Caenorhabditis elegans: one gene and its partner. The protein of the gene in region 1 purifies or fractionates together with the protein of each later gene. This does not show direct contact. Each region holds a gene or a part of one and is shown in the gene's direction. Other genes may lie near its edges. The genes, in order: dpy-26 and dpy-21.

What was found.
Region 2: the proteins of dpy-26 (region 1) and dpy-21 purify together in Caenorhabditis elegans (affinity purification with western blotting, with the first as the bait; one study listed by BioGRID). This does not show direct contact.

What each region holds. Positions count from the first base shown.
Region 1 is NC_003282.8:12,442,346-12,457,720, reverse strand, and holds dpy-26 (Condensin complex subunit dpy-26), read left to right. Parts: upstream 1-6,385; 5' UTR 6,386-6,430; coding exon 6,431-6,472; intron 6,473-6,521; coding exon 6,522-6,864; intron 6,865-6,919; coding exon 6,920-7,899; intron 7,900-7,952; coding exon 7,953-8,674; intron 8,675-9,132; coding exon 9,133-9,750; intron 9,751-9,795; coding exon 9,796-9,889; intron 9,890-10,377; coding exon 10,378-10,446; intron 10,447-10,495; coding exon 10,496-10,600; intron 10,601-10,648; coding exon 10,649-11,164; intron 11,165-11,216; coding exon 11,217-11,519; 3' UTR 11,520-11,836; downstream 11,837-15,375. Other genes in the region: C25G4.7 (uncharacterized protein), read right to left, coding at 574-701, 749-761; smz-1 (PDZ domain-containing protein), read right to left, coding at 1,604-2,035, 2,090-2,353, 2,401-2,529; Transcription regulator spe-44, read left to right, coding at 3,640-3,795, 3,853-4,021, 4,083-4,179, 4,240-4,448, 4,746-4,958, 5,006-5,436; C25G4.3 (Ribosome-binding factor A), read left to right, coding at 11,837-11,971, 12,635-13,183; Esterase C25G4.2, read left to right, coding at 13,687-13,843, 13,896-14,092, 14,142-14,453; C25G4.17 (C-type lectin domain-containing protein), read right to left, coding at 14,686-14,961, 15,297-15,375. UniProt on the Caenorhabditis elegans protein: Required for both chromosome condensation and segregation and for X-chromosome dosage compensation depending on its binding partners.
Region 2 is NC_003283.11:17,941,254-17,956,628, reverse strand, and holds the start of dpy-21 (Lysine-specific demethylase 9), read left to right. Parts: upstream 1-7,435; 5' UTR 7,436-7,600; coding exon 7,601-7,624; intron 7,625-7,672; coding exon 7,673-7,723; intron 7,724-8,586; coding exon 8,587-8,681; intron 8,682-8,848; coding exon 8,849-8,998; intron 8,999-9,541; coding exon 9,542-9,609; intron 9,610-10,088; coding exon 10,089-13,500; intron 13,501-15,375. Other genes in the region: gck-3 (Germinal center kinase 3), read left to right, coding at 13-484, 1,583-1,743, 2,455-2,508; Y59A8B.24 (uncharacterized protein), read right to left, coding at 4,480-4,680. UniProt on the Caenorhabditis elegans protein: Histone demethylase that specifically demethylates dimethylated 'Lys-20' of histone H4 (H4K20me2), thereby modulating the chromosome architecture. Promotes chromatin compaction by converting H4k20me2 to H4K20me1 leading to transcriptional repression.

The sequences.
Region 1 (15,375 bases):
GATTGAAGTATTTCAGGCTCAAAAAGTTGTTGATATCAAATACGATAACAGTGAGAATTTCCAATTTGTATTTCTTGAATTGCCGATTTCCGATCACCTCGCACAAAAAGTCTCGAATCACGCCACGTTCCGGTGTAATGCAGTCGAAATCGTCACGGTCCGTGATGTCAGGCTCATAGGTGAATTTTACAGGTGGCAGGATGTCTGTAAAAGCAATTGGGAAACTATTTCAAAAGCGCACTATTATCTCCATCAGAATTGTCAACCAATCTTAACTTGAACTCCACTTTCTGCACAGGAAGAGGATGTTGTCCGGCTGGATAAAGACTGATTCGAAAAACCTTCTCGACGACCGGTTCTTCAGGGTTTTGGGGATGTTCTTGAAGTATTTGGGATACCGATATTTCGATATCCCTGGAATCGAAATGAATTTTTACTGCTTCTTTGCTGACAAAGTGAATAGACGTTAGACATGAGGTAGGCACTTGGGGAGACTGGGGGAGTGAAACTAAATTTCAGTTCCCACATATCTCCATCTCCCCTTTTCTCTATCCCCTAGAACTGTGAGATCACCTACCAATTAATCAGCGAGTACTGATGGACCGTGGTAAAACGTTTCGGCTTCATATGCTCAACCTTGGTGGTCGTAATTTGAAAAGAGTGAATAAATGTGATTGTATCAAGGGATTCTTGAACACTTTCTGAAAAAAAGTTTCAAAAATTTCATTAAAAAGCGTTCAAAACTAACCAGGTTTGCTCATGATTTGAGGCACGAAAGTTGGAAGAAATATTGTAAATAGCTAGGAATAATCGAGAAAATCACGATAAGCACTAGAATGTTTTTTGAAAACGTGAGATCATCACGTTTTTTTATTCAAAAGTTGAATGAAAGTTTGTTAATAAGATAATTTAGATTAGTTGCAATGGCATGTTACCTGCCAGTAGGTGAATCTTTGCACGATGCACCATGTATTTATCTGTCAAGACACAGACACCAAATTTGGCGCAGAAATGCAGAAACTAGGCATAGGAAGGCCTTTAACATTGCTGATTTTATTATGGGTTCAAGAAGTTAATATAAATTGTTTTTTCAACAAAAAAATGTCAAAAAAAAACAATTTATTACCATTTATTTTGCAATCAAAAGCTTCTCAAAATGAAAGCGTTGAAGGTGGAGCAAAGCAAGTTGTTTGCGAGAGGCTCAGTGTTGTGGGTACTTCCTATGCCATCAAAAGTTATGGCTTTTCAACTCTTGTTAAGGCTACGGTAAGCCAGAACTAGACTTTCTTCTGGGCCACTAAAACATGGTCAGGGCTTTTGGTAAACGAGGAACACGTGGAGTAAACGAGCTGATATTAATAGAGACTTGCTGTAACCACATTCTGCCTTTTTCAGAAATTCAAACAACTTTCAAACAAAAATCGTCTGCAATACGGTAGTATTTTGACCACTCCTGCCTAAAAGGAGCCATTTTGTGGGCGTTTCACATACCCAAAAAACTATCTGTATTCGAACATATAAAACAAAATAAATCAGCAGAAGCGATTCAAACAAAATTTTTATTCGAGCTAGACGTTGCGATTTCTGGCATCTTGCTGGCACATCACTTGACCTTGCGAAGAGCTTTTCCCTCATGATCATGCCCGATTTCATGTGTTTGAGTTTGCTCGACAATTGAAACGCGACGAGCGCTTGGACCAGTAGACATAGCACTCTTTGCTGGAGGCTTCAATCCTGGAAGAGCTTGACGGTATTGAGACGCAATGCCCTTCACATCCTCGTTCATTTGCACAGATGGTGGCTGCATAAGATTGGTTGCCAATGCCTGCTTTGCCCATTGCTTGGCATCAATCGAATCGGGACGCTCGACGACGAAAGTGACTTTTCCCTTTTCTTGAATGTTCTTGACGAGAAGGTCTCTGGCAACATCCTTGTCACTGACTGGAATACCATCAACATCACACAAGTGATCTCCAAGAACGAGACACTTTTCGGCGAGTGATCCAGGATCAACACGGGAGACAAGCACACGATTCTGAAATAGATATATGAATTTCCTAGAATTTATTTGATTTGATTGATTTCTTACCTGGAAATGCTTGATTCCCAAACCAAGTTTTGGTCCATTTTGAACCCAAACAAGAGTTGCCAACTCATAGACGTATCCTTCACGGCGTTGAATGATCTTTGCACGATCTTCAGGAATATGAACACGAGCCTCCAACTCTTCGGCCTTCTTCTCATCGCGGTTCACCATAATTTTTGCACATGGAGCTGCAAAGCGAAGTGCACGGAAAAAGTCATTGCAATCTTTGCAGTTTTGCCCGTTGACTTTTTTGACTTGGTCACCAATCTATAAAACTTTTCATAGAATAATGGTTAAACTTTTGTAGAACTTACTCTCAACTTTCCTTCGGAAATAGTTCCAGCCTGGATTTTAGTGATGACAAGCTTGTCATTCGGAGTTGCACCAAGTGGTTCTCCTTCTTCCATATCGATACAGATCTCGATCATCTTCTCGGAACCCATGCTTCTGCTCCTTTGCTTCTTGGCTGCTTTGGCGATTCAAAAGACGATTGATTCAAGATTTCGGACGAAATATGAACAAAACTGACGAAATCTGGACCTTTTATGCTGAATTAATTAGGCCATAAAAAACAAGGCCCAAAGGTCATGTCACGTAATCACTTTTTCGTCTAAAAAACTCTATTTTAAAGTAAAAATATTATTTTTTGTTTCTAACAAAAAAAAATATAAAAAAATATTTTCAACTATCTGAACTTTCAAATAAAAAAAATCCGTCCCTACGAGTCTCTCATAAAAACATTGACCTCTACAAAATTTGAAATCATTAAATGTAAAAGGCAAAATCAACCTTGGAGCAATTTTACGAGCATTAAAAAATGTTTTCAACGAATTTTTTTGCTTAATTTTTCATTGTATTCTTAAACTTAAGGTGATCTGTGTGTTTTTTTTTAATGACTAATACTATCAAATGAAAGATCATAGTTAGTAACAAAATTCTCATTATTTTTTAAAAAGATCGGTAAAAACCTTTGAATTGCAATCCTAAAATTCTTGACTTTTTTATTTTTTATTTTCTTCATTTTTTCCTATCTTGTGATGTTACAATTACTGTAAAACTTTCTGATTTCAGAAGGTTCAAGGGAGGACCAATATCGTAAAATGGTGTCGCCACGCGCCGCGCGATTTCGTATGTGCGCCTTTAAGGTTACTGTAGAAAATTCTGTTCTGCAATTATTTTCACACTTTTGCTTTTTTATGAACTTTTTCACTATTTTTCGCGTTTAAAGTGTTCAACTTGTGATTTTTAATTTAAATAACTGTTGTTTAGTGTGAAAATTGTGTTTTTGTTGTAAAAAATTAAAGAAAACTCTCTGAAAAGTTGGATTCTTCCCGTTTTGAAACCATTTCTCTTGAATAAATATTCTTAAAACAAAAAATTCATTATTTATCTGCCAACGAAAATAATAAGAAATTTCAGCTTATCGGAAGTGGTACCAAAAAGATGAAAAAAAGAATGACGCGGAAATCTTTACGTGTTAACGTGAAACGTGGCGAACTTTGCAACGGCCCGCCCGACTCACGGTTTTATTCGGATTGCAAAGCAACGTCAAAATGTTCGGTGGAGACGTGAGCGCTGCTTCCGTGTTGCCGTCTCATCCGATTTCTGGATCATGTGATGGATTTCAAGCCGAAGGATCTGATCATCATCATTCCACGATGACTCCATTCCAAGAGAGTCAAAGGAATGTTTATCAAATTTTGTATGGAGTGAGTTTCAGCTACTTTTTCATAATTACATCGCTTTAATAATTCATATTTTTACAGCATCCGGCAAACGACGATTTTCCGCGCCCTATAACACCACTGCAGATCACAATTCCCGAAGGAGATGCGTCACCGACTGTGCCAGTTTCCTGTGGTGTCGTGAATGGAAAGATGCATCTCAACCTGTTCATGTGCCCTGGGATTCATCAGCCGTGTATTGAAGTGGGAAGTTCGTTATTTTATTTATTTCAGATAATTTAAAATGGGTCTCATAATATAATTATTTTCAGACGATCTTCTTTCTCCGAAGCAGTTCACAATCCGTGGCGACAAAGAGCGTCAGAAAGATTGGAAGGCGAGCATCCGTGTTGGAAGATCTTCGTTGAGGTGAGCATCAAGACAATAATCCCTTAAAATACTTCTGTTTCTCAAAACTTTATATTCTAGAACTCACATGGAAGCAATGACCATCGACTTCTACGAGCATATGAATCGATGCAGTGGAAAGTGTCAAAGCAGAAATTATGTGAATGCTCCATCTGAAGAGGTGCTTCAAGCTCGGAAGTCCAAGAGAACATCTGAAGCCGGACAACTTAAATATGAGATCGAAAATGAGATGGCTGGAAAAGAGGCGGATAATGATGATAATAGAAAGAGTACGACCGATAATTCTACAAAAGGATCTAGTTTTGACATGTTCTCTCAATATTTTTCATTAAAATTTAGGAATAATATTTGTTATGTCTAAAAATAACTTATATTTTAGTTGGAACAATCGGAAAAGTGCTCAAATATTGTCTCAAAGTTTGAGATTTGTGAGCATCTTTTCAACTATTCCAACTTAAATATAAGTTTTTTCAGATAAAGGAAACATTATTCTATATTGCTAGAACATTCTAAAACTAGCTCCTTTTGTATAACTACCAGTATTCTGGAAACATATCATTTTTCAGGCGCCAAAAAAGCTCGTGGACGTCCACGTGGAAGTGTCAACAAGCCCAGACAAATGGTCAAAATGGAGCCACAAGACGATCGTTTCTTCGAGGAGTTCTTCATTGATGCGCCACCACTGCAATCAATGTCATCTAATGAAGAGCCAACTTCTTCAAATAAGGAATCCAATGAGTGCACGCCATTCAATGATATTCTCAATTGTCTGCAGAACGGTAAGCTATTTGACATAACATTTATCACTAATTTATTTTTATTTCAGATCCTATGAATTTCTGGTCTCAAATGCAACAAACCGGTGTTATCGGTCATTTCTGCGACGACATCATTGTCAGTGCAATCAATCTGAAACAATCCGTTATGGATAATCCTGTCACTCCCACCACTGCCAACATGCTCACTCGTACTGCATTCGCTCTCGGAATTCCACCTGTCGTTGTTCATCGTGTTCAATCGATTGAACGAAACGCTTACCAACAGCGGAAACATGACGAAATGTTTAACGATATTCAATCAACTTTGGCCGAGGAGCACAGTGTCAAATATCAGCCGAGAACATCATCTTCAAGTCAAGAGAGTCTTCACACTGCTCGAGAATTTACAGAAGAGAAGGTTGAGGAACTTATTGATGTTTGCAAGTACGACGATTATCCAGAATCTGAATGTCTTCCAGGACCTAGTCATATTCAATAATTAAACAATTACGGATTTAATCCACAAACGCACAAATAGTGTGTGCATTTTTTCGTATGTATTTTAGAACTTCATGTTTTATAGAATATAATTAAATTCTGATCCAGTGGAATAGCCCACTGCTTACTTGTGAGCTTTCCCCCCTCAACATACCGGTGAAAATTGTTTGTAGTTCTTCTAGAATGTTTCATGCCTTTATAATGAAATCGTGTTCATTTGAAATTTCTATTCATGTTTTACAAACTCTTACTCGTCACAACGTAATACTGGAATATCTTTTAATTTATGTTTATTTTTTTTATATTCAATTTTCAACCTCATTCTTTTGGAATTAAGACGCCTTCATCAACAACATTATTGATTGCGTCGACTTGATTCCAAAAAATGAGTTTCACACGAATACTCATCAAAGTGTCATGGCAACAAAGAGATAGAGACGAAAATATATCATTGAGCAAACAACAAGCTTTCAGAAGGGCACAATCGGTTTTCAGATGAATAGAATTTGTGCTAATCATCTGCTAGCGGATTTTGTTCTTGAGAGAGATAATACTCCGCTCATAAGTAAACAATTGAGAATTAAATTCGCACAAAAGCATAAATCTTCATTCGCGAATATTTTTATTACTGTAGGGTCTCGCCACGAACAGATATTTTCTGTATGTGTCCCTTTAATTGAACTGTAGCTTTATCGATCGGTCGAAGGCATCAGAAAAACTTTCTTTTTAAATATATATTTACTTCATAACAATTTCAATCAATTTGTGAATTTTTTACATTCTCTTTGGATTCTCAGTGTGCGAACTGCCTCGTTCCCGCGTTGACAACGAGAGACAAGAGTCGCAGACGACTAAACATCATTACGAAACTCCGGTCTCCCTTCGACCCTTTGTTTAGCAACGAGGACTTTTGAATTGAATTGTGCTTCTTGTTTGAATATATTTTATTTTCTCCTGCTTTCTATTATCTAAAATTGTGTTTTAATTACAGGGAAATGGATGTACCATCATCCAGCAACGTCACTGGACGCAGAAAAGTAAAAAAAGAAGAATGTTCTGCTTCTACCAAAAACGTAATGTTTTCAGAGACAAGTTCTAGATGATGACGAAGATGATGGCTTCAGATCTACCCCATTGCGTAAAGTTCGAGGAACTAAAAAAATTAGGCCAGCGGATGTGGTGCCAGAAACAATTATGACAAAAATTGGCGCCCATATCGACGATATTGTGAATAAGAAAAAAGTTGGAGAGCTCAACTGTTTCGAATATAAATCGCCGCTTGAAATTCATACAATCGAAGATATGATCAAAGCAAAAGCTTCAATCCAAGAGATGGCAGTTGTGCTCGAAGGAGCTCAGTGCATTATTGGTTATCGAGTCGATCGGCTTCACCACGACGTTCGACAAATTGATTCAGCTCTCTCGAGTGGTAATTACATTTTTTTTTTAATATTCTTGGAATTTATCGTTTCTTTTTATTACAGGAACTGTTATGCGAGATTCAAATGGTGAAGAAATTCATTTAACACTGGAAAGCAGAAAAGCTAAAAAGAAAATGGCTGTTGTTGACGGAATGAATGGAATGCTCGATTTTCTCAATAATATGGATGATGCTCTGACAACCACCGAACTTGACGCAGACAATGATAAGAATTGGAAAGAAGATGAGGAAAATATTGCCGGAGAGCCACGAATTGATTTCAAAGCCAATTCCAAAGATGTTGACGCATTTCTTCAAAGAGACATTTTCCCCGAAAAACTCATTTATGCATTGTCAATCAAACGAGCAACTGATCTCAGAGCTGACCTTCTCTCTGATGTTTCCAATTACATAAGTGCTGATGATACGGCTCATGATCTGAAAGACGCAAATATCGATTGGCTGAGAGCTAACCCGACATTTCAAAAGGCAACGAAAGGATCCGTGTGCAATTCATCAAACTCGTTCCATTCTCTTAATTATTATGGAATTCATTCTCCCGATGGACGAACTCTTATGTTGCATAATCGAATTGCCGATAAGAATGCTGATGATCGGTTTTTCACGTCCGATGTGTCTGTCTCACTTGTAAAAAATACACGAGCTCTCCTCACCAATTCATTAGACAAAAAGCCACGAATTCTCGACAACTACTTGATGCTCGAAGTCAAAGATCGCCCAGTTATTGGGAGATACAAAATAATGTCAAAGGATGTGAAGAAGTCAACGCTACCATTGGCGGAATCGTCTCGTGAGAAAGATCTCGCCAACTTGACATTCGCAGAGATGAATCATCGGCCTTCAAATCTGGATATGACGGTGGCAGGAGCATCGGATATGTCAATGCTTCCAGGAAATCAAGGATTACCACTCGCCCAGGGAGAAAACGATGAGACGATCGCTCTAGATAGGCTTACACCTCCTCTTCAGTCGTCTGTGTCACAGAAAGCGAGTGACGAATATGTTCTTCCACCTCTTGAAGCTGTAAGTTTTTTTGCGCGCCTCTGAATACATTTATGATATAAATTATTTTCCAGAATGATCTCGATGAGCATCTCATTGGAAAACTGCCAATTGAGCCGAATGAAATGGATCAAACATTAGCCAACATGTTTGATAAGAAGCTGGAAGTGTTCAACACATCTGATACACTTGAATCAAAAGTCTGGAAAAATGGAATACGTGCAGAAGAATGGGGTGAAGATGATGAGGCAATTATGAAGAATGACACGAAACATCCACGTCAGGCTGGAATCGAAGGTTGGATTAAGGCAACTGATGCATGGACCAACTATGATGTTGTAAAAATGAATGTAAATCGAGAAGCTCGTTCTCAATTGGATGAAAATGCGATTGACGAGCAAGAATCGTATAGAAATATGGTTCCGGAAATTGGAAAGAATTTGTTCTTGGTGAAATCGGATGATTATATGAATAACTATCCTGGAGATCGTCCAGCAGACTTCACAGTGAATGATGAAGTGTCTGATGTGATGAAAATGTGGTCTGGTGAGGATAGTACAGCTGAAGATGATGTTCCGTTAGAACAAATTCAACAAGAAATACGGGAACAAGTGCAACAACAAGATGTTGATATGGAGCCTATTGAGGAAATGGATTACGATGCCGGCGGTGCTGCTTTTGATGTAGACTTTGATGATCGACTTGCAGCTCCGGTTGAAGTTGAGGAAATGGAAGGAGATAATAATAGAAATGATGGAAGGGTGGCTGATATTCTTTTTAATGAGCAGATGGATGAGTAAGTTTCAATTTTGAATTGAAAGTTGATTCTGTTCGGTTTTTTGTTGCCTATAATGACAGAAGAACGTTTCAATATAGCAAAAAAAACCGTTATTCATTTAATGTAGATAAATGCAAAAATTTATTTTTATCCATTCTCACCTATTCATGAGTGTCGAAAAATGCAAAAAAATACAAAAACTAGACGAATAGGGGGGAAAATGTATAAAAATACATTTTTTAAAAAATTTTCTACATCACATGAGTAATGAATAACCACAACTATTTTGAGATTTCTTCAACAATTTTGCAAAAAAAGTTAAATCTTTTCTGAATTCCCGCGCTTCCCCTATTTTCGACATTTTGAGTTTCCGGCAATATTAATTGGATACTCTTTGCTTTTTTATAATTTTACCTTTGAAAAACGCTAGATTCAACATTTTTGAAAAGACTATCCACATTTTTTTTCAATTTCAGAACTGAAGTAGAAGAACGAAATGAGCAAGATGTTCAACGGGAGCTTGAGGACATTGCACTTGCAGCCGATGAAGTTGCAGAGTTGATGACTTCTGCACCACCGCCACAACTTGTTGGACCATCTGCAGAAATGCGTGAAGAGATTCAAAATATCGGAAAGAACGACAATGCTCATTGGGTTCCACCAGTCGTTGGTGATCAAGAGAGACAAGCAGCGGTTACAGCACAACGGAAACGGCGAGAAAAGAAAGCGAAGAGCAGAAAAGCCACTGTCGAAGATTTCGTTCATTACTTCCGTGACATTCCTGATGACGAGATTGAACGAGAAATTACTGCTGCAAAATGCTCTAAAATTGCTGATGAGAAGAGCACTTTCCTTTCGGAACAACAGTTATATCTTCCAACTTTGGGAATTGAAAACAAGCCGCATGTCGCTTTTGAAATGGGTCTTCTCGGTAACAGCGGGATGTTCTTCAAGAAATCATATGGGAAAATACGACTCGAACGTGTCAAAAATCAAAAGGCTGAGCAAGATTTGTTCATTGATGAAGCCAGAGGAAACAAGGATTCGGATTGTCTCAATTGGCTACTTTCATTCAGTGGATTCAGGTGCATGGAGTGAGTGTCTAGGATTAAATATATATAAAATTGTTAATTTTTCAGAAATCCGGAGCCTATCACTGGCTCTGACTCGGACGAGAATCTACGAACTGCCGTAGAGCAACCGTTTGATGACGATTTTGCCAACGATTATTACGTACGTTTCTGTTAAGACCTGCCGGTTTTCCTGTCGGTTTTCTGAATAATCGAGAATCGAAAAATTTTCGTTGTTGATTTTTCCAGTTAAAAAAAGCTCGTTCAAAAGTCCAAAAGTTTTCGACGATCGATACCGTTAAATAGCTCAGACGCGAAATGTTGCGACTTTAGAACAAAAAATACAGTACCCGGTCTCGACACGACAATTTTTTATAATGAAGCCGAGTGTGCGCCTTTAAAGAGTACTGTAGTTTTAGACTATCGTTGATGCGATGTTTTCGGTGATTTTTCTATAAAACAGATTTTTTAATTAAAAATTGAAATAAAGCACGAGAAAACAATTCCTTTTTAGTGTATTTACAGATTTTAATAAATAAATTTTATTTATTGAAAAATCAACAAAAATTTTGCAAAAAATGCGTCTTTTCGAGACCTTGATACCGTATTTTCGGAGAGAAAACTACAAAATAATTCGGCATCTAATTACAGGACGAAGACAGATACGATCCAAACTATGAACAACAACTCGCTGCTGCACAAATGGGTCCGGATATGCAGGTAAAATTAAGACGGAATATTTTTTCCAGTGCTCATTGAACATTTTCAGAGGAAACTAGCCTTGACCGCAAGTCACATTAATCAAATGTTCCCGAATATCCATTCCAAACGATACGGTGGTGAATACGGAGATTCAGATGATGAATTTGACGATGTAAGTTTAACAAAAAATTTATATTAAAAAAGTTTGTATAATTTTCAGTCATTCGATCGCCAGTCGATCCAGGCAAAGAATCTTGACGCCGCCAAGCACAAGAAGTGTCTCGCTGAAATTCTGAAGACTGATAGTCTATCGATGCCTTCAATTCAATATGTTCTGGAGCAGTTGACATCTAATCAGACTCTACGAATGAATAATACAACTATCCGAGCTGCCGATGATCGTAATGAAACCGGAAGACCTGCAACACCGACAATGGAGGCCGACAAAACGTTGACGTCAGTGTTTGACTATAGATCACCGAACAAATCGAATCACGATGTGAACGAAACGATGAAGGCACTAACAGAGATGCCAGATTATCAAGCAGCAGATGAGCGTCCCAATAATCAACCAACTACATCTACATATGGAACTGCTAACACTGAAAATAGAAAAGTGCATATAAATGGATGCCATACACTTCTTTCGTTGGCACTTTCAATGCCTTCCAGAATGGGAGAGACTGTTAGGCCCTCGTCTATCGTCAGCTTCCTATTGCATATTGCCAATGAAAATGTATGTTTAGTTTTTTTGAGTTTATTTTTTCAAACTCATTCTAAATTTTCAGAACTTGCAAATTGTTCAAGATCGATCAAAGCGATCCTGGATGTCTGATTTCATTGTTCTCAATTCAAGTGAAAGCCTACCACGTGGTCTGAAAATGGGAAGAATCGAGGATCAAGACGAGTTCTGGAAACGAACTCAAGATCCGGACGCCATCGAGGGTACGGCTAGCGATGCGAATAATGTGTTCTCGAATTTGATGCGACGTCCGAAGGCAGTACCAGTTCGTAAAGGTCGTGGAGCAGGTGGTCAACCTACAACAAGTGATCTCGGAGCAATCGTAGAAGAAGAAGAAATGGAAGAATAAGCATACTTTATTAAATTTCTCCATAAAAAATCATTTATTTTCGGTATCAAAATTGAATCTCAGAATCCACCCAATTCGATGTATTTATTCATTTTATCTCTCATTTCTCGAAACTCGAAGTTTCTTTATTTATTTTTCTCTCTCTGAATTGAGTACCCCGACACCAAAAATTTTAAGTTTTCTGTCAAATCACTCTTTACAATGAATATTCAATATGATATTCGAGCCATAAAACTTGTAGAATTCTAGGGATACAAAGACCCTTTCTGATTCTTCCGAAAAAGCATTCACTGATTCCATAAAAATTACGAATTCAGATGTATAGAAACGGGATCCGATGGATTACCACTAGCACGGCGGCTCTGAAGGGACCCAGAAATTATGTGAATCGAAAAACGGGACGTGGATGTGGAAATTCGGTTCTTTCAAGATTCGAGTGGAGATATGATAAGGTTCTTTGGAAATTAGATTGAAAAATATAAATTCAACTTTCGTTTATTACCCAGGCGCGAAATTTTGCGATTTTCGCGCAAAAAATACAGTACCCGGTCTCGAAACGACAATTTTTGTCTAAATGCGAAAGGGTCTGCGCCTTTAAAGGGTACCGTAACCGCGAGCTCAACGAAATGAGAGAAAAACTTTAGAAAATCAATGATAAATAAATTGAAAACATTTTTGATTTTTCGGGAAAAAAATTAGAAATCGAAAATTAATTTTTTGTCAATTTAAATTAACAAAAAATGTCAACATTTTTATCAAATTTTGTGTTTTTTTTTGAGAAAAATTACAAGAAACCGTTAAGTTTTCTTCTATAACGAAAAAGATTTTAAAATGTAGGCTGCTTTTTCGGAATTCAATTTTTTTCGAAATTTTCTAGAGGCGAAAAATCGAAAATGACATATTTTTCTTCAACATTCCAACAATTATCAAAATATTTTGTATTTTTGGATTTCTTCTTGATATCAAAAAAAAGTATTTTTTTTCGCAACGAGAAAGTTACAGTACTCTTTAAAGACGCATGTCTTTTTATATTTTACAGAAATTCGTGTCGAGACCTCTGGTAATAATGATCATGGCTCCACCAGTTTTCTCATCCCAACAACAAGAAATTTCAGACATTGGGCAAAAACTTCCAAAAAACGATGGGCATGAGATACGGTATCGATATGGGACTTGAAGATCGACTTCTACTCGTCTCTCTCGGAACAAAACAACGACGTTTAGACGACAAAAAAGTTGTTCAGCTGAGCAGAATCCTTGAGGAACGAATCGCCGAAGTCGTCGCAACAGATGAAATGCTCGGGCGATTACAACTTCAAATTACTCGAGTACGAGTTGATCGAGCTTTCACACAAGTGTCCGTTTATTGGATGTGTCGAGGTGATGGAGATTCGGAAATTGTTGATTTTCTGGAAGAGTCGAAACACCAGATAAGACGACGAGTGGAGGAATCCATTGGAATTACGTGTCCTGAAGTGAAGTTTATCGGGGATAAAGCATTGTTGATGGAACAGGAAATGGACAAGTTATTCCGTGAAGCAGATTATGGAATGGATTATCGATTATTGAGTAAAAGTGCACGAGTTTTGGGAAATGTGAAGGAAGAGAGCCCGAACAATAGAAATGTACCTAGATGGTTGACTAGCATAAAGAAAAAAGTTTAAAAGAAGAAAATTAGTTGTAATCATTTGTTTTTAAAATTTGTTTTTTAGTTTTTTAAAATTTTTTTAAATGAACCTTTTTTCATTTTAATTGAAGTTTTCTCTTGCATCATAACTGGTTTATACCTGTGAAATACCTATTAATTTATATTGACTTATTACCTAGACGCGAAAACTGCTCAAAAAATACAGTATCCGGTCTCGACACGACAATTTTAGAGTACATGTATTTTCCCTCTTTTTTTTACTGTTTTCATAGAATCTTAAAAGTTTTTCGTTTAAAATATTTCAATTTTAACAAATTGCAAGAAACCTTTAAAAATTGATGAAAACTCCACAGAAACGAAAGTTTGAAATTACAGTACTCTTAAAGGCGCACACTCGGTTGCTTTCAATAAAAATTGCCGTTTCGAGACCGGGTATTACATTTTTTTGGTGCAAAAATTTGTGTCTAGGTAATACTTATTCACATTCTATGAAATATTCCACCCGCATTATCTTTCAGAATGTCTTCCCAACCGAAACTCCGGATCCTCTGCCTTCACGGATATCGACAATGCGATCAATCATTCCGGCAAAAGACGGGATCCACTCGGAAGCTCGTCAAATCTCTAGCAGAGTTTGAATTTGTGAATGGAGTTCATTCTGTGGCGGTAGATGAACGTATGTTCCTAATTTGGCAATTCTAATATAAAGTAATTTTTTTTATTTTCAGATGTTGATTCCAGTCGAGCGTGGTGGTTTTCAAACAACGAAGCGATGAGCTTCTCCTCTCGGGAATCTACGGAAGTAGCTGTTGGATTCGAAGAATCTGTGGCCGCAGTTGTCAAGTTTATTGAAGAAAATGGGCCATTCGATGGGTTACTGGGTTTCAGTCAAGGAGCTTCTATGGTTCACTTGCTCATTGCCAAGGTTTTATTTATCTCCGTCTCCCAGGCGTTTGATTATTCTATTTTTTCAGGCACAACTCGGTGAAATCAAACTTCCCGGAATCCGATTTGCCATTTTCTTCTCCGGATTCCTGAGTCTCTCTTCCAAACATGACTCCTTGACATTACTCCGAATCAAAGAATTCCCATCGATGCACGTATTCGGTGACGCGGACGAGATCGTGGCGAGACCAAAAAGCGAGAAAATGGCAGACATGTTTGACGTTGAACCGTTGCGGATAGCTCACGATGGGGGGCATGTTGTACCGTCGATGTCAAAGCACAAGGAGAAGATTGCCGGATTTATGAGAGAGCAATTGGATAGGAAGATTGAAAATAATTGATTTTCTATAGGAATAATAAATTGGCTTTGGTTGTTTTTGCGAACACAAAACTACAGCATAAATACAAATTTTTCATTTACATGTAAAAGTTTCAAATTACAAAATTTTCAAAAAGTGAGAGATCTGGTAAACAGGATATTATAAAATAATATAAGCGTCCTGTCAATAGAAATGAATAGGATATAGAATATGAACAGTTATTTTAGTCATGGATATTTTCATCAGAGCTTGTTTACATCAAATCTCGTTTGGCTCTCACAACAGGTGCCAGTGTAGTACTTGTTGGCTCAGATGGAATTTCAGGTGGTACTGGACAATACTTGCACAGGGCTTTACGATAGTGGTAGCAGAACGTTGGTTGTGTTTTACCAGTATTTTGAAATAGCTCGACAAGCCAATTGTCGACAATTTCAACGCAACTCGTGTGGTTATTCGGGAAAACGTATGGGGTGAAGAAGGAGGACCAAGGTTTTGAGCCATCGGTGAACGTCCAGTTGTTGGCGGTTTGCTGAAAAGTACTACTTGAGATTTTTCTTGAAATTTTTCTAAATGGGTCTAATATGCCATTTAAACTATTAATTCGAATTTGAAAATTATTATAAAATATTATTAAACCACCGATACTTTATGTATATATTTTTCCGAACTCTAGATTTATGTTGAAATAGTCTATATCTTTGCAGTTTTTCAAAAAAAATATTATGAAGACGCAGAAAATTGTGCATTTCGTAACTGAACACGCGCCGTCTCAGTTTTTTATTTTTTTTAATGTATGGAATGTTAGGATCATTTATAGCAATTTAAAGAAATATTATTATTGGCACTGGAGATATCCCAACTCACCGTCTGCGAAAGCCCAGTCCATGCATGGATCCCATCGATTCCTGATTTATGAGACTTTGCCACAAACTTGGATTCATCT
Region 2 (15,375 bases), on another chromosome or scaffold:
TTCTAATTTCAGAAAGACCCAGCAAAGCGTCCAACAGCCTCCGAACTCTTGAAATATTCGTTCTTCAAAAAAGGAAAAGACAAGAAATATCTGGTACATACTCTCATTGAGAATCTCGCTTCAGTTCCAGTAGTCGCCCATCACTCGTCGAAAAAAGTGGCTTCTGGAAAGTTGCGTAAAGATGCTCACGGAAATTGGGAATTTGAATACGACTCACCACAAGAAAGTGATGATGATAGTGATTTGGAGGATGAGGAACGTGAAAAGAAGAAGAAGAAGGCTAGTGCTTCAGCATCAGGAGCTGGAGCAGCTGGAGCTGCTGGAGGAGCCACTGGAGGAGCAGCAAGTGGTGCTCCAAGTGCTCAGGAAGGTGGAGGAGCCACCACTCCGTGTCCAGAGACGTTGAATATGGTGCTCAGAGTTCGGAATCAACAGCGAGAGCTCAATGATATCAAGTTTGACTATACAAAGTCGGCTGATACTGGTACGGAATATTTTACTAAAAGTAAAATATACTGTGAAGCCAGAGAGTAAAATATACTGTGAAGCCAGAGAAGCCAGAGGGAAATTTGACAGAAAACTGAGTTTTGGAACGACGATTTTTGTGGAAAAATTCTGTTTTTTGAGAATTTTTAACGACTTTTTCAATAATGTTTTTTTAAAATTTTGCAATTTTTTTCCAATTTTTTAGCGATTTTTGCTGAAAGTTGAGGTTTTTCAGTAATTATTTCAGAAAATTTAGATTTTTTGCGAATTTTTAGGTGTTTTGTGTTGAGAAATCTAATTTTTCACATTTTTCGAACATAGGTTTTTGCTCCGACAATAATGGAATCATGTGTTCTGAAAAATAGAAATTTATTCAATTATTGAACTGAAAATTACATTTTTTTCAAATTTTACCGACTTTTTGAAGTAATTTTTATTTTATTTTTTTGAACATTTTTAATGGGTTTTGTCTTATTTTGAAATAAAACCATTAAACTAAAATAATAACAGAAAACACAGCTTTTTCGAATTATTTTCGAGTTTTTTGAGTATTTCTCGAGATCCAAATTTCATACTCAAATGTTTTGTATGTTTAAAAATAGTTTGCACATGGTTACATCATTTTTGTATAAAAAATCAAGAATTTTCGACAAAAATTTTTTTTGAAGATTTTTTGACGACCAACCAAAAAAAAATTTTTTGGACGGATTTTTTTCCAAACTTTTGTCGTTTTCTAATAATGTATTCTAAACAAAGCAAAATCCTCACACAAACCTCAATTCAAAGGTTAAAAAAAGCGAGATCTGAAAAATGTCTGAAAAATTGGCTCTGAGTTAGGGCACTTCGGACGGTCAAAAAATTTTGTGACTATTGTCAAATGAAAGATCATCGTTGATAACATAAATTCCCACAGTTTCATAAAAATCGATACGCAACGAACAAAGTTATGATTTTTGACTCGGAACTTATTTGGAGACCTAATAGTTTGTAGTTCAGTAGACCCAAATAGTCTATAAGTATTTAAATACATTTTGCAATATTAGTTGAATAACCCCTTATTAGATGGTAATTTATCGATTTCTCGTTTCTTTTTCAGTTGAAGGAATTGCTCACGAACTAGTGACCGCTGAACTCATCGACTGTCACGATTTGGTAATTGTCGCTGCCAACCTTCAGAAGCTTATCGATTTTGCTGAATCAAAGTCTGATAGACGGTCGATAACGTTTGCATTGAATTCTGGAGTACACGCTAATGAGGTAAATTTTTTAATTTAAAAAAATTAGATCTTTTTTTTTTGGATTTTTTGTGATAAATTTGAAAATTTTCTGTGAAATTTTTCTGAAAAAATTGAACATTTTAAGATATTTTCCAAAAATTAGGCTTTTTGAATTTTTTTTCTCAAAAAAAAATTTAAAAAATTGAAGAATAAGTTTGTTTGAAATTTGTTAATTTATTCCAAAAAGATATTGAATTTTTTGAAATAAAAAATTGAATTTTTGACGAATTTTTTTTGAAAAATCGATATTTTTTTGAATTTTCTGGGAAAAAAGTTATTTTTTTTGATTTTTTTTTCGAAAAGTGTGAATTTTTGCCGAATTTCTAAAAAAAAGCAATATTTGCTAATTTTTTGACGTTTTTTTATTTCAAAAAATTTTTTTTTTCAATTTTTTCCACTTTTTTCCCTCCAAAAAGTTGAAATTTTGGCCAAATATCTGAACAGTTTCAGAAAAAAAATTTTTTATTGAAATTTTTACGGAAAAATCGAAATTTTCGTCGAATATTTTCAAATTTTTCGAGAAATTTTTTTTTTATTACAATTTTTTTATGATTTTTCCCGAAAAAAATTAAATTAAATTAAATAATTTATTTTTCAAAAATTTGAAATATTTTCCAAAAAAAAAAAGATTTTCTTTTTTATAAATTTTATATTTTATAAATTTTTTTTTATTTTATAAATTTTTTTCCAGATCCCCGACGAGCGGACATTGACCGGATTCGCCCAAATTTCGCTGCTCGACTAAACGATTTTTTTCTTTTCTTTTTTTGAATTTTCCGCCGAGCTCCCCCCCCCCCCCCCGCCTTATTTTTAAAAATTTTTTTGTGTTTTTTTTTCTGTTGTAAAATATAGATAACTCTGAATTTTTATTGATTTTACATTTGCTCCGCCTTCCACACCGCCCCCGCAAACACACACAAAAAAAGTGATTTTCGATTTTTTCTGAGAAAAAGTTTTCTTGTAAAAAATTTCCCCCCCCCCCCTCCCCCGCCTTTTTTTTCGCTTGATTTATTGATTTTTAGATGACAAATACCAAAACTGTTCCCCCCCCCCCCAATTTTTCGCTTTTTTCCAAAAATTTATGAGAATTTTATTTTCTTTTTCTTTTCTTTATAAAATGGATTTTTAATAATTTTTAGCGATTTTTTTTTCGTTTTTTAACTGATTTTTTGAGTTTTCTATTTGGATTTCTCGAAGGTTTTATTTTGATTTTTTTGTAAATTTTAGGACTAAAATTTCAATTTTTTATGAAAATTTTATGATTTTTCCCAAAAATTTATTTTAAGAAAATTTGAAATTCGAAAAATTTTTTTCTAAAAAATTGAAAAATTTGTGTTTTACGTAAAAAATTTTTTTTTTGGTTTTTTCGCTGAAAATTTTGGAAATTGTATGGTTTTTCCCGAGTTTTTCAAAAATTTGAAATTTCAGTTTTTTTTCTGAAAAATTGAAACTTTTAAGATATTTTAATAAAAAACTCACTTTTTTAAAATTTTTCCGAAAAAATTTGAATTTTGTAAAAGATTTTTCCCAAAAAAATTAATTCAAGAAAATTTGAAATTCGACATTTTTTTCTAAAAAATTTAAATTTTAAAGGTTTTCCCGAAAAAAATTAAATTTAATGAATAATCTTTTACAAATTACTTTTTTTGGATTTTTTTGTGAAAATTTTAAAATTTTAATGGTATTTTACACAAAAATTTGACTTTTTTGTGTTTTTTTCTGGAAAAAAATTCGAATTTATTCGAAAAAACTTTTTTTCCATATTTATTTGGTTTATTACAATTTTTTTCGGAAAAAATTGACTTTTTTTGGATTTTTTCTGATAAAGCTGAAAATATTTTCCGAAAAAATTCAATTTAATAATTTATTTTTGAAAATTTTAGGTTGCTTCACTAAAAAAATTGACTTTTTTGAATTTTTTCTAAAAAATTGAAAATTGTATAGATATTCATCTTTTTTAAAAGAAATTTGAAGCATTATAATTCTGTCTGAGAATTTACAAAAAAATTGGCTTTTTTAGAATTTTTTTGTGAAAAAAAATTTGGCTAAGCTTCTCCAGTTGTGCTCGGCGAGCAAGTCCTTCCAATTTCTTCCAATAACTCTTCTGCGGCCCATTTTTTAAGGCTAAAAATTGCCCGAAAATCTGCTGCGAGCTCCGTGAGCCGACAGCTGCTCCGTGATAACTCTGCCCCCTGAAAAGTCGCTGAAAATCCTCCGTCAGAACTCCAACTTCCGCAATCTGTATACTATCCCAAAAATGAGCACGGAGCCTCTTGTGAGCTCCATGAGCACCCGCACTCTTCCTCTCTTACTTCTGACAACCCATCTGCTGTGTCCTCAACCTGCGTGGGGCTCCGTGAGCACGTCTTCTTATTATCACCGGCTCTCTTCTAACCCCACACATGTCCTCTCTAACAGTGATTGCAGGGCTCTGTGAGCCCAGCGCTCCGCGCTAGTCTTGAGTTGAGCTTTAAGCTCACCGGCTCTCAGGCTAGCCGGCTACCAGGGCATAGATCCTGAGCTGCTTCGAGTACTCGGCTCAATACTCGAGCCTATTGAGATAGGTCTCCGTGAGCTTCTCTACACTTGGCTAGAACTAGCTCTCTGATAAGCCTGAGTAAATATCCACCGGGCTCCTGGCTTCTTGTGGTCTTCTGAAAAGGCTCCCTGAGTTGCCAGAAAGTCAGGCTCCGTGAGCAACCTTTTTCTGTTTCTCTCACGCCCAGTACGTCCTCATTCTGACAACAAAAGGATGTTGGAGCGGGCTCCGCGAGCTGCTCTTATCAAGCGGCGTCGACGGCTCCTCTGCCCTTAGCAACGAGAAATGACAACTGGGGCTCAGTGCACACACACACCACCTCCTCACGTTTCGTCGTTGTTTCAGAAGTTTGGGCATAGAAAGCAAGGGCTGGAGCATTCAAGCTCTCCGGCTTTACAGTTAACCAAAGTTTGAAGCTTCTTTGGTTGACCTTAAAATCTGACGTCACAGATTTTTATTTACAGTGCATTTGTTTTTCCACTTCTACGAGTTTAAACGGAGATTTATACAGTTGCGGTGTACAATTTGCGTAGATCACAAATAATCTATGAAAAAACAACAGAAATACGAAATAAGTGATAAATATACAGTGATCTACGCTCATTTTACACCGAAACTGTATAAATGCGCCTCCCTTTAAACTCGTTGAAGTGGGGACAACAAATGCAATGTAGTGCATTTGCTATTGAAAATAATGACGTCATAGCATCAAAACCACGTGGCGATCTACTTTCCAGAGGTCAATGGGACAAGCTGACATTACCCGTGGAAGAGCTGAAGCCCTTCGCGAAAGTTCTTCCATCTCCTCTGTTCTCTCTGCTTCTTTTCCTTCTCTATCTCTCCCCGCCGCCGCCTCACGGCCCGTGATGTTTGGTGCAAGTGCGCTTTCCCCTTTCGCCTCGACCCTCTCGTCCTCTCTCCCGGCCAGCCAGCCGGAGCGACGCGGTCGCGTCGCGTGTCCTTCTTGTTTCTCACGCATACACACACACACACACACACACTCTCTATGTCTCTCGATACTCTCTGCACGGCGATGTGCTGACGAAGGCCCCCTTTTTTCTTCTTCTTCGCGTTTACCGCCGGGGGTGGTTTTTTATTTGGATTTTGAATTTTTTTTGTGCACCATCGCTATCGATAGTGATAACGATTATATCGTGATCGTTTTTTTGTGGTTTAGTTGAATATATAGTTTAGAAAGAGCAAACAATTTGATTAGAAAGTTCTAAGGTTAATTCATTTCAATTTATTTCGAAAGCCGATTTTATTTGAAATGGGTAGAAATTAATGTTTTTTAAGCGGAGATTTAGTTTTAAATCATATAAATTATGGGGTTTAGTTTATTTCAAGTAATGTTACAAACTGTATTAAAATACATGCTTTTATGTATTTTAATACAGTTGTGACGTAATTACTTGAATAACCCCATTAGTTTTTAGTTTATCGTTAATGTTTTATTATAGAAGCTGATTTAAATGTAATACTTCCTTACTAGTTACTTTTAATCATTGAATGAGTAAAATTACTTTATTTACTAATTTAAATAGTTACTAACAAATCGTGATAAGTATCTTTGCTAATAAGTTTAATTTATAAAAAATAAGAATTTGAAAGCCTCGTCTTGTTCAAAAAATAATTCCGCTGTCACTATTCATTATCACGTTAATATTTACGATATATAGACTTTTCTATATTTTTCAGATTTTCTTGAAGAAAATTTGCAAAGTTTGCGAAATATTTTAAATTCTCGTTAGTAACTTAATTAAACGATTTTTTTTTTCATTTATCGACTCAGATTAACCGAAATTATAGTTTGGGAAGAATTTCGAATGTAACTATTATTTTTGAGCTTAGAATTAAGAAATTATTATAATTAACACTAGTATAGAAAAAAATTAAGCTTCTTCACTTTTGACGTAGTAAAAATATAATTACACCACCTTTTTAAAGTTGGTGCGTTAATAATGAGTACGTTTAATAATTTAATTTAAATTCTTCGTTATTATCAAAAATATATAAACTGACATGTGAAACGTGGCTTATTTTTTTTGCTTTGTTTTTTATTTGAGCTCCTCCCATTTTTTTAAAATGAACTAATAAATTAAAATTTCAACGAAAGGAAAAATAAAAAATAAGCCACGTTTCACATGTCAGTTTATATATTTTGATAATAGAGTACAATTAAATTAAATCAATAATAATTATTATTATAGAGGACTTTTAAATATATTGAAATATAATTTCCTAGCATATTTCGAAAAAGTGTCATATTTCTCTCCGAATGCTCGTATTGTTTATAGAACACAAATTCTCGTAAACCTTTTTTTTTTGTTGCGATTTCCGCATTCCGTCCTTATTACTTCTGATTAGACTATAACTAAATTAACAATAGAATATAGAAATCCGAATATAGCTATTATTTATGAACTTACCTTGTTTAATTTCACCTTTGACGTATTATTAATAAGTTATTAAAATAATTTGCGTTCATAAATAATGTTTTTAACTCAATAAGTTAAGATTTTCATGAATAAAACAAGTGCTCCATTATAGCTTATGGGATTATTCGAGTAGTGTCGCGGAAAATTGAAAAAGTGTAGAAAAATGACATCACAGCTGCTTAATTAAAATACATAAAAACATGTATTTTAATAATTTTTTTACAACATTACTTGAATAACCCCATTAGTTAAATTACGAAAATCAGAAATCCTTTTAATCAAAAGTTATAACGAGCATGATTTAATTAACTCTATAGTTATTAATTCAGTTTATTAAATTGCCCTTTATAGTGTTTAAGAACTATGTTTTAAATTGAGAAATCGATTTTTTTTTTGGGAAAATTTAATTTATTCGTGTTTAACTCCGAATTCGTCATAGCCATAGGCTTAATTAAAATGGAATGTATCTCGAATCTATTTTAATTCTGATTCTCCTGAATATTCCTGCAAGCAATAGCTTTTTGGCCGGAAATTTTAATACGTTAAAGTTGTGCTACCAGCGTTTTCTTTCAATTTATATGGATTTTCATCGAAATTGTGCCAAATTTGTCTATTTTTCACCGAAAAATCCCTATTTTTTCTCAAATTTTCCTAGATTTTCCGCATTTCTTCTCCGATTTACTCTAAAAAATTTTCCAAATTTCAGACCCAAATTTGCGCCAACACAGAAAAAAAACAAAACCGAACAACAATTTTGCACTTTGAACGACAATTTTGAAGGAAGAATGATTGCACATTAAGAAGAAGAACATCAAAAAAAAAAAATCTCCAAACAAAATTGTCTGAAAGTGATATAAAATATGAGAAGCACCACTTTTGATAAGGTTTGTTTCGAAGGAAAAAAAATCCCAAAAAATTATCGATTTTTGCAGAACTCTGGTGCTCCTGAAGAGCCGAGACGTCCGCGTGGACCGAGAACACCTGTAAGTAGCTCGAAAAAATTTTTTTTGACCACTTCCGGGGGTCGAACCCCGGAGGTGTGGGTTCCAGTCGGGCCCCTAACCGACTGAGCAACTTGCACACCCAAAAAAAAATTTCGAAAAAAAAACTGAAATCGATTTGAAATTTTGCGTAGATTTCGAATGTGTCATCAAATTTTAGTTTGGAAAATGCTGAAAACCTCTCATTATCGAAATTTATCAGTTTTGGAGTCAAAAAAGTCTAAAAAACTTGATTGTCTAATCAAATACCCAATTTATTTTGTGATGAAACACGGAAAACACTCTACAAAAAATAATGACCACAGCTGGGGGTCGAACCCCAAACATTTGGGTGCCAGCCGGGCCACTAACCGACTGAGCCACTTTTGCACCAAAAAAAATTGTTTTTTTCAACAAAAAAAAAAGAATTCGATCTGAATTTTTCCGTAGGTTTCGAATTTGAAACCAAATTTTAGTTTTTATAAGGCCGAAAACCTCTAATTCTCGTAATTTCTCAGTTTTAGAGCAAAAAATGCCTAAAAATCGACGACTTTTGGACTTGAAAGAACATAGTTTCACCGGAAATCTCGATAGAAATACGAAGTTTTGATGTAGAAATGCCAAAAAAACTCTACAAAAATTATGAGCCACAGTGGGGGTCGAACCCCGGACGTGTGGGTGCCAGTCGGGCCCCTAACCGACTGAGCCACTTGTGCACCCAAAAAAAAATTTTTTTTTGTTGAAAAATTACCATTCGAACTGAAATTTGACGATAAATTCGAAAATTTTGTTAATTTTTGTATTTGAGAACACAGTGAAAACCCAATTTTCGACATAAAACCGCAAAAAAAAATCGATTTTTACAGGACGGAGAACCCACAGAAGCCAACGAAAGGCCGTGCTCGTCGAGCTCATCACTGAGCAATGATTCGTTTGTTCCAGCACCACAAGGACCTCAGAAGTAGGCGATTTTTTTTTGGTTTTTCGGCTGAAAATTGGCCTAAATTTTTGAAGCTGAAATTTGACCTATTTTCTGACATTTTTCTTTAGAAAATTCCAATTTTCACCCAAAAATAGCTGAAAATCTCTGGAAATTATTATTTTGAAAAAAAATTCCCCAATTTTCAGCGGACACACGAGCAGCAGCCATGACAATGATTATAGTGAATACCGCCCACGCCGTGGGCCTAAAACTCCGCCTCTTCCACCGCCGGATGAGCCTGTAAAACAGCAGCAACAGCAGCAGCCAATTGTTGCTCCATATTCCTATTATCCAACGTGAGCATTTTCTTTTTTAAAATTTCGAAAAAAAATTTTTTTTTGGTAAAAGTTTTTTTTTTGACGAAAAAACTTAAATTTTTTTTTCGTATTTTCACTGAAAATTTGAATTTTAGGCGAAAACTTGAAAAAAGTTCAAAATTATTTTTTTTGCTTTGGGGAGCAAGTGGCTCAGTCGGTTAGCGGTCCGACTGGCACCCACCCGTCCGGGGTTCGACCCCCGACAGTGGTCATTAATTTTTGTAGAGTCTTTTTTGGTGTTTCTAATGCTTTTTAAGCTCTTTTACGCAGTTTTTATACTTTTTTTCTAAAAAAATTCCAAAATTTCACTTAAATTTTGAATTTTCAAAAATTCAAAAATTCCAACAAAAAAAAATTTTTTTTCAAAAATTATTTTCCTGAAAGTATTTTAAGCACCACTCTTCCGCAATTTTCACAAATTTTTCCATAAAAAATTTGAAATTTCACGTAAATTTTGAATTTTAAGCCAATATTTTTTGGGGGTCTTCAAATTTAGAGCTCTAAAATTCCCAATGTTTTCAGATACGGCAGCTCTACAGGATATCCGTATCCGTATCCGACGATGATGATGCCACAACAAGGAATTCCTGGTAATTATTGATTTTTGCAGTACTTTAACGATTTTGGAGCATGAAAACTAGGCGTTTTTTGGTTTTTTCGGCCTGAAATTGAGCCTCTAAAACTGAGGATTTTGACACAATTCATCTAAAAATTTGAAATTTTCAGAATTTTTCTAGTTAAAACTATTGAAATTGAGCTTAAGCCCGAAAATCTAGTTGAAAAATTGACATTTTTCTCATGTTTAAGCTAAAAAACCACCGAAAATCTCAATTTTTGTCATAAATCAGTTGGAAAAATTCGCATTTCTGCGATTTTTCCCAACTTTAAAGCCCTTTACAGTCATAAAAATTGGATTATTCGACCAAAAAATTTCGAAAAATCGAAAATTTCCAGCTAACGAGCCTGAAAATCCTTAGAAAAATCCGATTTCTTCAGGCTTTTCAAGCCTAAACCTAAAGCCTAAAAAGAACCTTCAAGCCTAAAAAAAAGAGAAGCTTCCAATTTTCAGGCCCTTCCCAACATCCGGCGACACCATCCTACTACATCCAACATCCACCACCACCATCAATGTCCAACGGCGCCCCATACTATCCACACATGAATCCATCGCCGTACTATCAACCTCGTCCGAACTATGTCACTCAACCACCTGCACCCATCATTCCACCACCACAACCACCAGTGATGACTGCCTCGGCGGCTGCGGCTGCCTACCGCGATCGCCTACCTCCACCGCCTCCGAAGCCTCCGATGCCTGATCTAAGGACCAAAGAGCCAATCGGAATCCGTAGCTGGAATGGATCAGGCATCCCACCTCCGCCGATCCTTCCACCAGTTGCTTGTCTATCGTCGACGATGTCACCCGGGATGCTGAGATCCCCAGTGCCGAGAGAACGATTCAATAGTGTGGAGAGTAATGGATCTTTTAGCCTTCATCCACCACCACCAGTGCCACCACCCGCGAAGAAGCCACTGAACATGGATGTTCGGGAGTTGCTCAACGGAGCTCATCAGACAACTGTGGAGAGTGTGAAGAAGGATCCACCAGCACCACAACCACGACCTCGTCCGATTCCGGTTCCACCGACGACATCGTACAACTCATCGTTCTGCGGACTTCTTCCACCTCCACCAGTGCCACCAGATCTTAGAGCATCAGCAGCATCAGCAGCAGCATCGCCACCGATGGTTCAGGATGCATCGTTCTCGTCGGTTCTGACGCCGAAGACGAAGGCTCCAGAGAAAATCCCAAGCCCCCCGGCAACAGTGACGTCATCCACGGACTCACTGGAGCATATGCAGAGGAAGAGAAAGAAGCAACAGGAGACTGAGGAACAGGAGAAGGCGGCGAAGAAGGCGAAAAGGCATCAGGAGGAGCGGGAGAGGCAGAAGATTGAGGCGGAGAAGAGGAAGAAGGCGATACTCGAGGAGGCGGCGAAGGTGACGAGGCCTCCTGCCGAGAAGAAGCCGCCAGTCGTCGTGGAAGAGACCATCAGAGCTGTGCCGTTTGTGTTCAAGCAGGAGATGCCTCTGCCATTTGTGCTGGCTGCTGCTGCTGCTGCGGCGAAGGAACCTGAAACAAGGCCTGAGCCAAGGCCCGAGCCCAAGCAGAATGGATATCATGTCAAGCAAGCCGAACCTCTGCAGGCCGAACCGCCGCAGAATGGCTATAGGCTAGCTGCTGCACAAGCTCTTCAGCACGAGCCGAGACAGGCTTCAGAGCCTCTGCAGAACGTTCAGCCAGAGCCGTCAAAGCAGGCTTCAGAGCTTGTACAGAATGGTTATGCTGCTCCGCAAGAGCCACGGCGTGCTACTCCACCGCCAGAACCTCTGCGGAACGAGCTTCCAAAGCATTCAGATCTTCTGAATGTTTCGAAGCCCAGCGAGCCAGCTGAGCCGCCGAAGCCTTCGGATGCCCCCAGGGAACCTGAGGTGGCAGCTGCTGAAGCAGTGATACCTGAACCTTCACCGGCAGTTTCTGTGGAAGAACCACCCCGCCGGGAGGAACGTGCCGCATCCATGGCAGGCATTCCACCACCACCTCCAACATCATCCCGCCACAGCCCTGTACCCCGCCGAGAGGATCGAGCAGAATTCATGGCACGATCCACACCACCAGCGCCAGGAAAAGACAGAAAATCGCTGGGCGGTCGGATGGCGATGTGGCGAAACAAGAAGAATAAGACGGCGAGCATGGTGGGGCCTCCGGAGCCCAAGGAACTGCCAGCTGTGGTGGAAGTAGAAGCCATAGTGGAACCTGTAGTGGAAGATCAGCCAGAGCCAGTGGTGTCGGAGGAGCTGAAACCAACGGAGCCAGAACCAGTGGAGCCAGAACCTATGGAAGTAGAGCCTGTTGTAGCAAAAGAAGTAGTAGAAGAAGTAGTAGAAGAAGTAGTGGAGACCCAGGAACCCTGGGTTCCACTGTCGGAATGTTCTCGATCATCGTCATTGGAGCTTCTAGCGGAGTTGCCGCCACCACCTCGAGCTTCAGAACCACCACCACCACCACCACCTCCAGTAGCAACAGCACCAGTACCAGCATCAATGGAAGAGGATGAGATTATTGATATTGAGACGATTGATGAGATTACGAGCACTTCCACAAAGAAGCCGGAAAAGGTGGAAAAGATCAAGAAAGCTCCAGTAGTCACGAAGGCCGCCCTCAAAATGGTCGGACGCCCCAAAAAGACGCCGGGACGTCGTCGCAAGAAGGATCGCGGCGCCTCGCCGAGCCCATCCCCATCCCCACCACCACCGCCAGAGACAACACTGACTCCGATTGTCCTGCCGAGAAAGAAGCAGCGCATCGAGAAGAAGAAACTTACACCACCACCACCGCAGCAGGCGCCGGTCACCTCGCATACCCCACCGCCTGTGGAGCAGTTGATGTCGAGGAAGAAGCAGATTATGATGGAGCACAGCTCGCTGGATCATATTCAGTTTAAGCTCATCGAGATTGAGTTGGCGGCGAAGCGGCGCAAGGCGGAGGCAGCGGCGAAGGCCGCCGCCGCAGTCGAGCAGAAGGATGAGAAGGCGGAGGAGGTGGAGAATCGTGAGACACCTCCTGGGCCATCGACTTCTATGCGAAGTTCTTCGCTTCATACACCGAATACGTCGGAGGAGGATGAGGTGATCTTTGTGGAGCCATCGACACTTGAGAAGCCTGAAAGAAGGAATGGAACAACTGAAGAACGAGTAATGACTGCTGATCAGCGTGCGATGTTTGATGCGAAGATCGAGGAGGCACGAAGATCCCGAATGAGCACCAGGGATTGTTCGGTAGTATCCACTCTAGGACCTGTGAAGAGTAAAGCGAGTCAGCGACTTCATGACATTATTGAAGGAAAGGAAGAGCTCGAGGATAGTATGGATGATCCGACGAATAACAATGGAACACTTGCCGGAATCCTTTACCCGATGAGATCGGAACGCGCGGAGTCGGTATCGTCGAATCATAGATCCGAAGGTGCAGGAGGATCGATGAGTCTGAAGCATCATCTGGCACGGAAGAATGAGCTGAAGGAAGAGGCGAATGTGGCGAGACGTTCCGAGATTCTGAAGGCAGTTGTGAAGCGACAACGAGAGATTGGAGTGCCGACGACACTGATGTCGAAGAGTGCGATCGAGTTGGTTGAGGAGGATGAGAAGGAGCGGAAGAATCATAAGAATAATAAGACACTATCGCATCCGGACTATGTTAGATCGAAGAATGAGGCGGAAAAAGCCGAGTTTCATGGAAAGGGTGGAACGATGAGGATTACGAATCGGAATTTGAAGATGCTTACTCGTCAATTCGATCTGCCGAAAATGTCGTCGAGATTCAGGAAGTTTGTGAGAATACGCAGGCATCCCAATGGAATGGCAACTATCATTTCGTGTGACTATAATCAAATTAAGCAGCATTTGGGACCAAATGAGATGTGCGTTTTTTGGATGGGTTTTGACGGTTTTTGGGGGGAAAGGAGTTGATAAAAATAAAAAAGTGACATTACACACAATTTTTTTATTTCACGACACTACTTGAATAACCCCATTAGTAATTTTATTTCATGTAAGCCTAAAGATGAAAATAGTATTAAAATGAACGTTTTTGAATATTTTTCAAAAGTGGCGGCGTAGAAAAGGAAGTAGTACCGACCGAAAAATCCAAAAAGCCAGTTTTTAAAGGTGGAGAAATAAAAGGTGCCTGAAAATTTTCCCTGACTTTATATATTTCAGCTTGCATTTCATGTGTGCGCCGCCCATGAGATTTCCGAATATTGGCACCAGAGACGTCATGTTTCGATTTACGAATTGTTGAATCTTTAGCAGATGGAGATTTCCGTTTTTCGACGATTTTCCCTCATTTTTGTCGGTTTTTGTCGAAGGAATGATGAAAACTCGTTGAAAAACGAAATTCAGCATTCGATAAAGATTAAACATTTCGTAAATCGACACATGGCGTATTTGGCGTGAAAATTCGGAAAACTCATGGGTACACAAATGTTGAAATATGAAATCAGGGAAATTTTTTCGAATTTTTTCACAGAGATATTCGGAATGTAGGAAAAATTTGAAAATTTAATAATATTTTCTTGAAAAATCGGAATTTCACGTACCTTTAACAGTTATTATTAGTGCTAAATAATTGAAGTATTATTATACAAGGCCTTTAAAACACCGCTATAATATAGCTAAATTATCACTTTTTTTAAAGTCGAGTTTTGGAAGAAATGGAAATGAAGAAAAATCCAGAATTTGTCACATTTTGGCCAAAAATTTCGGAATACATTGAAAATTTGGAGATTCCGAACGTTTGGATAAAAAATATGTACTTACGACTCTGAAATTTGAAAAATTTCATAATACCATTTATAAAACAATTTAATTCATAACAGGTTTAGAATTCCAAAGAAAAATTACAAATTTATATTATTGACGGACACCTTTAGGTGTGTATCTAAGCGTTTTCGGGAATATGTGGTGTTTTTTTTGAATTTGAACATTTGAACATTAAAAAGTAACATACATACTAAAAATTAATTTACATATGAAACAAAAAAGTTGAAAATTGCTATTTTATAAAATTTATACATAGTATAATTAATCATAATTAATTAATTAATTAATATTAATTACTTAATTAATAGTATTGAAAAAAACCCACTGCAACTTTTTCCTCACGAGGGACGAGGAAAAGTGGTTTCTAGGCCATGGCCGAGGGGCCGACAAGTTTCAGCGGCCATTTATCTTGCTTTGTTTTCCGCCTGTTGTCTTTTGTTTTTCACAGCTTTTCCCCGTTTTTCTTATTAAAACTGATAAATAAATATTTTTTGCAGATGCTAAAACAATTTCCAAGTAAAAAAATTATGTTATCAGTCGGCAAGTAGCGGTGAAAGTGGACAATGTAAAATGATGGATTACGGGAATACAAAACCCAAACTTTTTCTGAAACATGGTATATATTCTGCTTAGAGGCTGAAACTACCCGATTTTTATAACGAGACCGCTGAAAAAGTTTTGAGATTTTCAAAACTCGACATTTTGTGCGAAAATCTCGACTTTTTCACCAAAAAAATTGAATTTTGAAAACCTCAGAACTTTTTCAGCGGTCTCGTTATGAAAATCAGGTAGTCTCAGCATCTAAGCATCATATGTATCATGTTTGGGAAAAAGTTTAGGTTTTGTATTCCCGTAATCCATCATATTACGTTGCCCACTTTCACCGCTGCTTGCCGACTGATAACATAATTTTTTTACTTGGAAATTGTTTTTACATCTGCAAAAAATATTTATTTATCAGTTTTAATAAGAAA